2 linked regions of the Arabidopsis thaliana genome follow. The protein of the gene in region 2 interacts with the protein of the main gene of each other region in a biochemical or structural test. Each region holds a gene or a part of one and is shown on either strand. Other genes may lie near its edges.

Region 1 (7,100 bases), on a different chromosome or scaffold from region 2:
GTCCGGGCTAATTTAGTCGGGTCATGTAGGTTTCGTTTATTCAGTTCATTTAGTTTTCAAGTATTTGTAACCTGCCTTTCGTCAACACATCCAAGTATCCAATATAATCTATTAGATGACCAAAAAAAACAAAAAAAGGAAACTTGTAATTTACAAAGCATAAACATTATTTGTTGATGTGAAATCTCTAGTTTTGAGATTTACTTCTACTCCAATCTTGAGTCTTTAATGTCATTATTTTACTCCAATTTTGATGTTCAATTTCTTGAGAAAAAAAAACGTGTATTATGTATTATTGGAGAATTTTTTACCGAATATCTCTTTAGTATCGTAAAAGAAAAATGTTTATCCTTGCATACATAACATATAATTTGCTCATACGGTTTTTATAAGTAATGAAGCTTTTTATTTTCACCCCCAAAGAACAAACATCTGATCATCTCCAATTTTGACCTCAAAAGAATACGATGAAGTTTGAATAATTATGTTAAAAGGAAAATAAAATAAAAGGATGGTCACGGAGGAACGAACAAGCGAAAGCAATGATCATTCCAATGAGTAAAAAATGACCATCTACTAACGAAAGTTTTCCATTATATTATGTTTTTGCCTTTTTTCAAAATAATCACATTGGTGAACTTTTTGTAAGAAAATTTATACTATTAAAATTGAGTAAGAATAATGACATTAATGACTACCAATTCATAACTTTACTCTGTTTTAAAATAATAATCACAATTGGATATGGTCAAACTAAAGTTTTCCATTTGCCGTTACAAGAAATGCTATATAAGTTTCGTTTGGTTGTTGAATATACCTCATTATGAATTTAGGACAATCAATGCTATTTGTTTCATCTGTAATTAATTATATCTAACAATCAATTAATGACAATAGAAAAGAATAATGTGTTTACACTAATTCTGTATTCACTAATCTAGATTTTTGCGCAATTTGAATTTTAAAGTTTAGTGTAAGGTTTTTTTTTTTTGGGTGCACACTGAATATAGTTTAGCCTAAGTAATACTAGATATATAGTAGTAAAAGGAAATAGGTTTTAATTAAATTAAGAAGTTTGGTTAAATTCAACTGTTGCTTTGAAACCACACACACATGTCATCATAAAAGTTGGGCAACGAGTTTGAAAGATGGAACCTCTGCAAAATAAAGTTTTTCTTTCCCTACCTTATGCATATATAATTATTTTCCACAAACATAGTGTACCATCAATAAAAATACATATATGATCTATATTTTGGCATAAAGTTTTCCATTATTTTCTTGTGATAATGATTATGGTAAAGATTTTTAGTGCAGATTAATTTTTTGGTTATTAGATTATTTGTTCTTTAAAATGCAGAAACATTGTTGAAACTTAGAACCAAATGAAAGCTGAATATTGCTTGTTTTTTTTTTGTTTTTTTTTTCACAATATTGCTTGTTTTAGTTTGTTATGTTTTCATTTACCATTCATTTAGTAGAATATATTCATTAGTTAATAAAAAAGCTTTTAAAAGAGTTTTCTTATCATGTTAGTTCGGTTTACTTCGCACCGTTTTGATTGGTACAAATGGGTATAGTTCTATACCGGACAATAAATTTTGTTATATTTTTGTAAAATTATTGGTCTACATTTAATAAAACTAGGCTAATTTTGATATAATGACATATTAAGGGATTTAGATTTTTTTTTTTGGTAAGGTTTAGATTTTTTCTTGTATTGTTATAGGAAATTAATCCTATATATTGATTAATAAAGACAAAAATAATAATTAATCCTTATCTCTTTTTTCCTCTAACCTCAGTTAACCTTTATCTTAGTAAGACTTTTTATTCTCTTTATCTCTGTGCATAACCCAATGACAAGAACAACACTAGTCACCAACTTATTATAACTCTTCATCCATTTTCTCTCTCTCAAAGTCACCCCCCAAATTTTTTTATTTTTTTTTTTAACTTTGAATGTGACTCAGGATAGAGAGAGGGCGAGACAGATAAAGAGAGCTTGAGGAAGGATTTAAGCAGATCTGCAAGAAACACTCTCTCAGGTAAGGTGAGAACTCTAAAATATGAATTTACTCATTTGACTTCTGAATTGTGAAAGTTTGTTTGTTTGGTTTTAAATTTCCAAAGCTTTTCTTTTGATCAATTACATGTTCATTGCATGTGATGTGAGCATGATCTCTTATCTGGATATAAGATCTTCTCCTTCTTCTGCTTATGGAAAGAAAAAAACATCAGTTTTATCGAAAGTGCAACTTATGATTTGATCACAATTCTTTTTCTCTCTGGGTATATATCTCTCTCTCAATTTCCCTAAATTCTAGGGATTTGCCTTTCTCCTTCATTAGTTGTCATAAGCCTATGTTTTAGTATTTGTTAAAGGTCATTAGTCTGTGTTGTTAAGTTAACTAATCACTGCATGCACGAGTTAAACAACACTAAACTAATAATATATTCACTCTTAAATGATTCAAAAGCTTTGTTAGATTTCATGGCATGGTGGTCCACTCTTTATAAATAACAAAATCAAGTTCCTCATGAATTATTCTTATCTCATCAATAATACACACACCTTTTGAATATTTACTTTTCTTGTATCTTTATTCTGTCTAATTTTTTTGTTTATTCTATTCATTTCCCCTTTTTTTATTAATAAAATCTAGCCAGTGTTTACTTTTTTTCCGTAGAATCAAACCGGCGGCGACAGTGACGGCGGCGAAAAGCGGCGGTGTTGGCCGCAAAAACGATGCAAAACCAGCTATGGTCATTACCGCTAACGATTTATCAAAATGGGAAAATTTTCCTAAAGGACTTAAGGTTCTTCTTCTCCTCAACGGCTGTGACAGCGACGGAGATGGCTCCTCAGCCGCCGAGACTCGATCAGAGCTCGAATCAATGGACTATATCGGTAAGCCACTAATTTTCCTCTGTTTCTTACTTTAAAGGTTATTTAATCAGTGGTTATGCATAAATATTTAATCATAAGTTATGTGAGTGAGACTATACTAGTTTAATATTAGAGTTGCTTTAGCTCTTACATGTCCCGTGACAATTCTAAATTGTATCGCCTTCTATTATATTTGCATAAATACACACAGACATACACAGGTATAGATTGGTCAATAGCCTATGAATAGAATTATACCATTATTGTGTATATATATAGGGGGAAAAATAATATTAATATGTAAAATGCAACGCTTTTAGTTGATACGTACATAAGTAGTAAAAGCTTGTGCAGTTATGTTTTGGACTTTTGTTAGTTTATATTTATGAACCAGGATCCAAATTATCTCGAAACTGTTTATGGATTTCTGTGTGTTTTGACTATCAAACACATAATGTTAAGATTATAGATTCAATTTTTGCTTTTTTGGAACTTTCTTGCAGTTACTACATTCACCGATGAAACTGAAGCACTCTCTGCGGTTGTCAAGAACCCGGAGAGCTTCCACATTGCCATCGTCGAGGTGAATATGAGCGCTGAGAGTGAGAGTTTCAAGTTTCTTGAGGCTGCCAAAGACGTTCTTCCTACTATAAGTTTGTGAACCTTTTACAAGTACCCTTTTTATTTTTTCACAAATCTTTACAATACGAAAAGATTGTTAAAATGTGGATTCTTTTATGTCTTTACAGTGATTTCAACCGATCATTGCATCACTACTACAATGAAATGCATAGCGGTAAGTGATTGCGACTTGCATTTGCGTAGATGTATAAGAATGTTGGTTATGTGATGATGAGAATTGATAAGTGTTTTTCAGCTTGGTGCAGTTGAGTTCCTACAAAAACCGCTCTCACCGGAGAAATTAAAGAACATTTGGCAGCATGTTGTTCATAAGGTTTAGTTAGTTTTTTCGCGTCTTTAATTCCTCGGTAATATAATCATAATCTAAGAAAGTTGTTGTTACATTTTTATGTTGCTAGGCATTCAATGATGGTGGAAGTAATGTTTCGATATCACTTAAGCCAGTGAAAGAATCCGTTGTCTCGATGCTTCATCTTGAGACCGACATGACAATCGAGGAGAAAGATCCAGCGCCATCAACACCGCAATTGAAACAAGATTCACGGTTACTAGACGGTGATTGCCAAGAGAACATAAATTTCTCGATGGAAAATGTAAATTCCTCGACCGAGAAAGATAACATGGAAGATCATCAAGACATCGGTGAATCTAAATCAGTCGACACTACAAACCGCAAATTAGATGACGACAAAGTGGTTGTCAAAGAAGAGAGAGGAGACAGTGAAAAAGAAGAAGAAGGTGAAACCGGAGATCTCATAAGCGAGAAGACAGATTCAGTTGATATTCATAAGAAAGAAGATGAGACTAAACCGATTAATAAATCATCCGGGATCAAGAACGTGTCTGGTAACAAAACTAGTCGAAAGAAGGTAACGTTGTGTTTCTCTTGACGCTCCTCAGTGCTAAAAGATTCAAGCTCTCGTTATCATTGTTACTACTTTCTTTTCTACAGGTGGATTGGACACCAGAGCTGCACAAGAAGTTTGTGCAAGCAGTTGAGCAACTCGGCGTTGATCAAGCGATACCCTCGCGGATTCTTGAGTTGATGAAAGTAGGCACCTTAACAAGACACAATGTAGCTAGTCACCTTCAGGTAATTAGATCCCAAGGGTCGAATGTTTCGCAAGATTTCTGAATTCTTGTAAAATGTTACACAACTTTTGAAAATTTTGACCAGAAATTTCGGCAGCATAGGAAGAATATTCTTCCAAAGGATGATCATAACCATAGATGGATACAATCTAGAGAGAACCATAGACCAAATCAACGTAATTATAACGTTTTTCAACAGCAACACCGTCCCGTGATGGCTTATCCCGTTTGGGGTCTTCCCGGTGTTTATCCGCCAGGAGCGATTCCACCTTTGTGGCCACCGCCGCTGCAGTCCATTGGTCAACCACCTCCGTGGCATTGGAAACCACCTTATCCAACGGTAACATCTTTTTATAAGTCAAAGATTCTAGCTAAAATAAAATAAATCACATTTATCTGTACAAGAAAATGTCATTACATATCTACAAATTAAACGATAAAATGAACTCATACCTATACATTTTAGCTAATGCATTCTCTATATAGACATATTTTGTGACATTATGATAGAACATCCATAGCTAAATCGTCCATATATGATGTTTCAGGTGAGCGGTAATGCATGGGGTTGTCCGGTTGGACCGCCTGTGACCGGATCATATATTACTCCTTCGGTGAATATTTTCACAATCTATAATATTAAACTTTATATTTATGGAAATTTAATCATTACAAAAATCTTATTTTTTAATTTTTAAAGAGATTTTTGTTTTTTTGTTGCAGAATACTACCGCCGGCGGATTTCAATATCCCAACGGAGCTGAAACCGGCTTCAAAATAATGCCGGCGAGTCAGCCGGTTAGTGTCAACAATTCTCTATTTTCTTTTTAAGACATAAAAATTCCTAATTAATTAATAAAAAATAAAATTTGCCGGGTCGGGTTGCGATGTAAATGGGTCGGGTCAGGACGAGGAAATGTTAGATCAAGTGGTTAAAGAAGCGATAAGCAAACCGTGGCTGCCGCTACCGCTCGGGCTAAAACCGCCGTCCGCGGAGAGCGTTTTGGCTGAGCTAACGCGTCAAGGCATCTCAGCCGTCCCTTCTTCTTCTTGTCTAATCAACGGCTCTCATCGTCTCCGCTGACGTGTCCATGATGAAACAGAACCCGCAGATATGATGACGTCATGCGTGGCGTACTTGTCCGTGTCTGACGATCCGAAGCGGGAACTGATTCGGATCCTGAGAGTTGTTTTTTAATTGTTGTTTTTAATTTTTTGTTGTCATAAAAACATTTGTCTCTATTGGTATTATTAAAGAAGATCGGACGGTGGAGATAGAGGCAACGATGTTAGTCTGAGGACCACAAGTGGACTCTGCGGCTGTAAGTAGATCTCGGACACGGGATTTTGACAAGTCGGAATCTGACGTGTGTGCGTACTCGCTTTTGTGGGTTGTCGAGAATTTAATAGTTGACACTGTTTTAGGTGGATATGAGATATGATGATGATAATAATAAAAAGGTACAACTCAAAGATTCCGTGATGACATTTTGTTCTTTTTTTCTATAAATTCCAAGATACACACAACAACAACAACAACAAATATACATCTTTTCTTTTCTTTTTTTGCCAAGAACAAATATACACTTATTCACATCGGACATAAAATGTTTTACATTACTTAGATGTGTTTGGATTTCTATTTTTAACTTATGTGATACATACTGATTGCGTTATACAAAGCACAAGAAAGTGCTAACAAAATTATCGAAGTAGACAAATAGAGAGACTACGTTTTATATTGGGCCTAAAAAGAAGATGTTCAGAATTGGGCCTCGTTGATGACTTTATCGCAGCATAATGTCCAGGGGATAACATTTTCAGAAGATATCAAGAGAAAAGAGTAATGAGTATGACAATATAAGTGGAAATTTATTAAAATTCGGTAAAATGTATACCAAAAAGAAAAATCAGAAGATCCTACGAGCTAGAAAACAAACAAATATTGCAAATATAATATCTGAAACCAAGTGGATGTATAATTGTAAAATCGCTTGCAATTTTATATATATATATATATATATATATATATATATATATATATATATATATATGATCATGTGAACTTGGAGTCTTATTAGACACGTTATTTTATTCGGTGGAACTCAACTAGAGACTAACTATTTTTGTAGAGTTTACGAACTTATAACATGCTTATTATACCAAATCACATGATTCAGTTTATCTGAATAGGCTGTTTTTACTCTAACCAAATTGTCAACCAAAATAAATTTAAACAAGTTTTCGGAACAGAAGATTCCCCTCAAAACATACAAGTCATATTATTTTTCTAGGACATTTTTTTACCAATGCATACATAATTTTTGGTGTGTAATGCACGAATTCGTAATCGTATTTTTTCTTTTGTCGACACTTCTCTGTATATGTCTGGTTAGCTACAAATGCACTAAACATTTTCACATAATTGATAAAAGAAGTGCATTGTGGACCAAGAAAAAGAAGCTCAATGGTGGAG
Region 2 (3,967 bases):
AGATTCTTGCTCAATCAGTCGTAAGGGTTTTAGAATGGAGTTCAACCAAAGCCTTATCTTTTTTAGACACTACTAAAACGAATATTGCAAGTACTAAATTGCTCTACTCAATGTAAATATACTATCTCAGCTTCTAGGTCATTTTGTGTCCACTGTGATGAAGAAACATGAATCGAGAGACAGATCTCAATATGAGTGAAAGTGACAAGCATCAAGAACATCATAAATTTCTACAACAACCGTCGGCAGACAAAAAAGCAAAGCTACTTAACCTTCAATGATGGGGACTTGAATTGGAATTTGGAACAAACAATTTATAGCAAAGCTGATAGGTTATAAACAAATTCGACAGTTCAACAGATTTTCTCACCATTTACTTATTAAAAAACCACTGATTTTTGGTTCTTCAGACTGCTTCTTCATTAGGGTTTTGCAAGGATTGAAGATGGAAGTTAAGGATCGACCACCAGTTCAATTGTGGCACGCTACCGTCGAGTGACCGAGTCAGATAATTACTCTCGGTTTAGTTCGGTTTGGATTTTCCGGTTTAAAAAACATATGTTTAAAACAGAACAATACTTTTGGTTTGGTTTGGTTTGGTTCGAATTTTGGATAGGAAAAATATTATAGTTTTTTATCGACCGAAAAAAATCATTGATTCAGTAACACACACTTTAATTATATGTTGGGAAAATATAGTAACATATTGAAATATAGTTGTAATTGTGCAAAAACAAACTCTTAAATCATGGCATTTCACAAAATGCTAATAAGAGGCAGCAATCATCATTTTAGAGAATTCGTGGAAAGAAAGAAAACCATCGCCATCAAGGTCGGCTTCTCGGACCATATGCTCCGCTTCTTCTGCTGTTATCTTCATCCCCATGTCCTTCATTCCTTCTCCCAACTGCATTTCGTTTATAGAAATTAGGAGAAATGGCTAAATAAACTATAGTTAAGACTTAAGAGTTAAGAGAATGGCTTATATTATAAAAGTAAGCTAATAACCATTTGACCAAGTTAAATGACCAATCTTTTTTGCATTATTTTTGAATATAAATCTTTTTAATTCAGATAACGAAGTATTTTTCAAGTAGTATGTGACTATGTGTCTCTCGATTGTTGTGTTGTCGCCGTGTCGGTTTGAGAAAAAAAAAACAAGACCATATGAGCAATGGAGTTTCTTATGGCGACAAAAATTTGTGTTGTAATGAGTGAATGATAGTAGATTATAAAGATAATAATAACAAGGTCTTCAAAAAAGTAACATTTAGTAATTTCTCTTCTTTCGTTATATCCATCTACATGATCACTTAATCTTATTATATATGTATGTAACTCGTTTTTTATTGTTTCCATGTCAGGACAATGTACTATTTGGTAAATAGTTAGACAATTTATTTACCTCAAGTTGAGATATGAGACCATCTCCGTCTCTGTCGAACACTCTGAATACCTCAATTAACTCATCCGATGCTGATTCCTACAACCAATTTTTTCATTATTAACTTTTCTCTACAATTATCAATCTTTACTATAACTAAACGGTTTTAAGTGTGTATATATATTTTACCTGAGAAGTGTTTTGAGCCATAATATACAAGAAATCATCAAAAGTGATGCCACCGTTGCCAAAGATGTCAACATCGCTCATCATCTGTTGCAGTTGTTCCGCCTTTGGATTCTTCCCCATCGACTTCATCACTTTCGTTAGCTTCTCCTTCGTGATGAACCCTGTTTCACATGCATCATAACATCATCAAACCGATCGATTCTGAATAAATTTGTGTATCAAATCGAACAAGAAAGAGAGAGAACAAAGCAGACCATCGGAATCTTTGTCTATGAGACAGAAGGCTTCGTAAAACTCTTGGATCTGTTCATCTGTGAAAGCATCCGCCATATCTTCGATCACAAAGAAAAGTCAAAGTCTGTCTTTGATTCAATCTGATGATCAGCTTCTCTTAATTTGTTAGTGATGAGAGAAGAAGAAGGGAGCATCTATCACATTTAAGTACACATCACCTCTTGGCTCTAGGCTCTTGCCCGGTCAAGGTCAATACTCATGACCTTGCGTTTTCATTAGTTGTGATATTTTTTCTTGAGCACGATTCCAGGTCACGCGTCTTTGTTCAAACTTATGACTTCAACGCTTATTTTTCTTTATTTTCATAGTTATTAGAAAAAATACTTATAGGGAATTAAATTAGGATCTTGATTATTGCGAAAAGAAAGGGTGGAGTAATGCTCGGGTTTGAGGACTCAAGAATTAAAAGTCGTACACCAAGTTGCATTTTAAGAAATAATTGATGTACGCGTGTCTCTAATGTAACCCTTGATTTTGATTTTCCATTATTTAGTGTCCTAACAACTTCTGTCAAGAATTCCATTCAGTAACTTTGAAAAGTTATATGTCTTGTTACCATAAAAAGCGAAACATATCTTAGAAGTGGGTTTTTTTTAATACCAAATGGGATTTAAAAGGTAATCAATATGAAAAAAACGGACTGACCATAAACATTTTTCTTCTTGTACAAACATGTCTCTCCAAAGCAATGCAGATAAGAGATTTGTTAGAGATGTTGTGTTCTAATTCTAACTCCTACTTTTATTCACGTTATGATGAGAAGTTGAGAACGAAACATTGTAATGTGAATAAAGGCTTAATCTGATAAATATTGTGGGGTCTCTTATGTTTATGTCCATCCAATATTAGTGGCTTACGGCTAAGAAAAATATGAAAATATATTGTAGTGTTCTATACTTCCATTCGATCTGTTTTCCACTTTTGAATGATTCAAAAAGTCTGGATAACCATAAGTTTACAAATTTAAACAAATATTAAAATACTGTTAAAAACAAAACAAATCACTAATACTACAAATTAGAATTTCGGATAGATGTTTCATTCTACAATCGGAGAATAGACTAGTTCAAAAGCGGATACATATTAAAAGATTATCGATCCAACAAACCAAATTCGATGCAAATATATTAAAAACAATATCCGCTTTGTGCCTACCTACCCTGTCCCATACGGTCATAATTAAGAATTGAGGCTAAGTAGTATTAACTGCAAAAATGTTCCGCACTAGTCACACTACTTTGGTCGTAAGCTTACTAAAGAGGGAGATGCCGTGTTATATATCCTTAATTGGATGTTAGTTGGTGGCGTTATCTGTTTTGGTATCTAGAGATCTATGCCTCATTTAGATCTTCTTCTCTTATCATAGTGTATTTCTCATTTACAAACAACCAAACAAATTAAGAAATAAGATATGGGTAAGTAAGATCATAAACGTTAATGTTTGATTTGGTATGTATGATACGATTCAGAATCAGACTCACGCGAATTTACGCTCCCACTACGCTTTACTTAGCGGAGATCGGATTCGGATCTCTCATTTGATTACATTTTCAGCTAATTTTGTTTTTTATTGTTGTTAACTTAACTTTCATTTCATCACACTAGTCTTTGTTTGATGTAAAACAGATATCTTGATTCCCGTATTAGATGGCAGAGCTCCCTTATTTTTGTCTTCTCCCACCAATATTATACTATGTTCAAAAAATAAAATAAAAACATAATATACATAAGGGACGATCACTACAAATAAGCATGCATCAATCGATGTAAATATATCCATTTGGGAATATTATTTGAGAATCTAACTCGTAGTCGTAATTATAATATGTAACGATGCTACCAACTAATTAAATAAGTATTTTGAGGTTAAACAATGTTTTTCGGTTTAGCTTATTTAAGTCATCCAAGTATAATAACATAAGTTTGTTGACAAAAAAAAAACAGTATTTTGAGGTTTACTCATTACTACCAACTCATTCGCATTTTGTCGTAACTAATTTGGTATATCGTATACTTGAAAAATACATATATCTATATCTTGATTTTCATAATCCTTAACGTTACAGTATCCACATATGGTCCAATTAACATCACTGGTCA

The links. The genes of interacting proteins can lie anywhere in the genome.
Region 1: the proteins of CAM9 (region 2) and APRR2 form a complex in vitro, tested with the Arabidopsis thaliana proteins (one study listed by BioGRID).

What each region holds. Positions count from the first base shown.
Region 1 is NC_003075.7:10,002,346-10,009,445, reverse strand, and holds APRR2 (CheY-like two-component responsive regulator family protein), read left to right. Parts: upstream 1-1,826; 5' UTR 1,827-2,053; exon of another isoform or gene 2,054-2,292; intron 2,293-2,670; 5' UTR 2,671-2,763; coding exon 2,764-2,911; intron 2,912-3,393; coding exon 3,394-3,543; intron 3,544-3,639; coding exon 3,640-3,686; intron 3,687-3,767; coding exon 3,768-3,845; intron 3,846-3,930; coding exon 3,931-4,401; intron 4,402-4,484; coding exon 4,485-4,625; intron 4,626-4,709; coding exon 4,710-4,964; intron 4,965-5,172; coding exon 5,173-5,238; intron 5,239-5,347; coding exon 5,348-5,422; coding exon of another isoform or gene 5,423-5,455; exon of another isoform or gene 5,456-5,531; coding exon 5,532-5,708; 3' UTR 5,709-6,600; downstream 6,601-7,100.
Region 2 is NC_003074.8:19,267,412-19,271,378, forward strand, and holds CAM9 (calmodulin 9), read right to left. Parts: upstream 2,248-3,967; 5' UTR 1,904-2,247; coding exon 1,828-1,903; intron 1,735-1,827; coding exon 1,574-1,734; intron 1,484-1,573; coding exon 1,406-1,483; intron 908-1,405; coding exon 767-907; 3' UTR 540-766; downstream 1-539. UniProt on the Arabidopsis thaliana protein: Potential calcium sensor.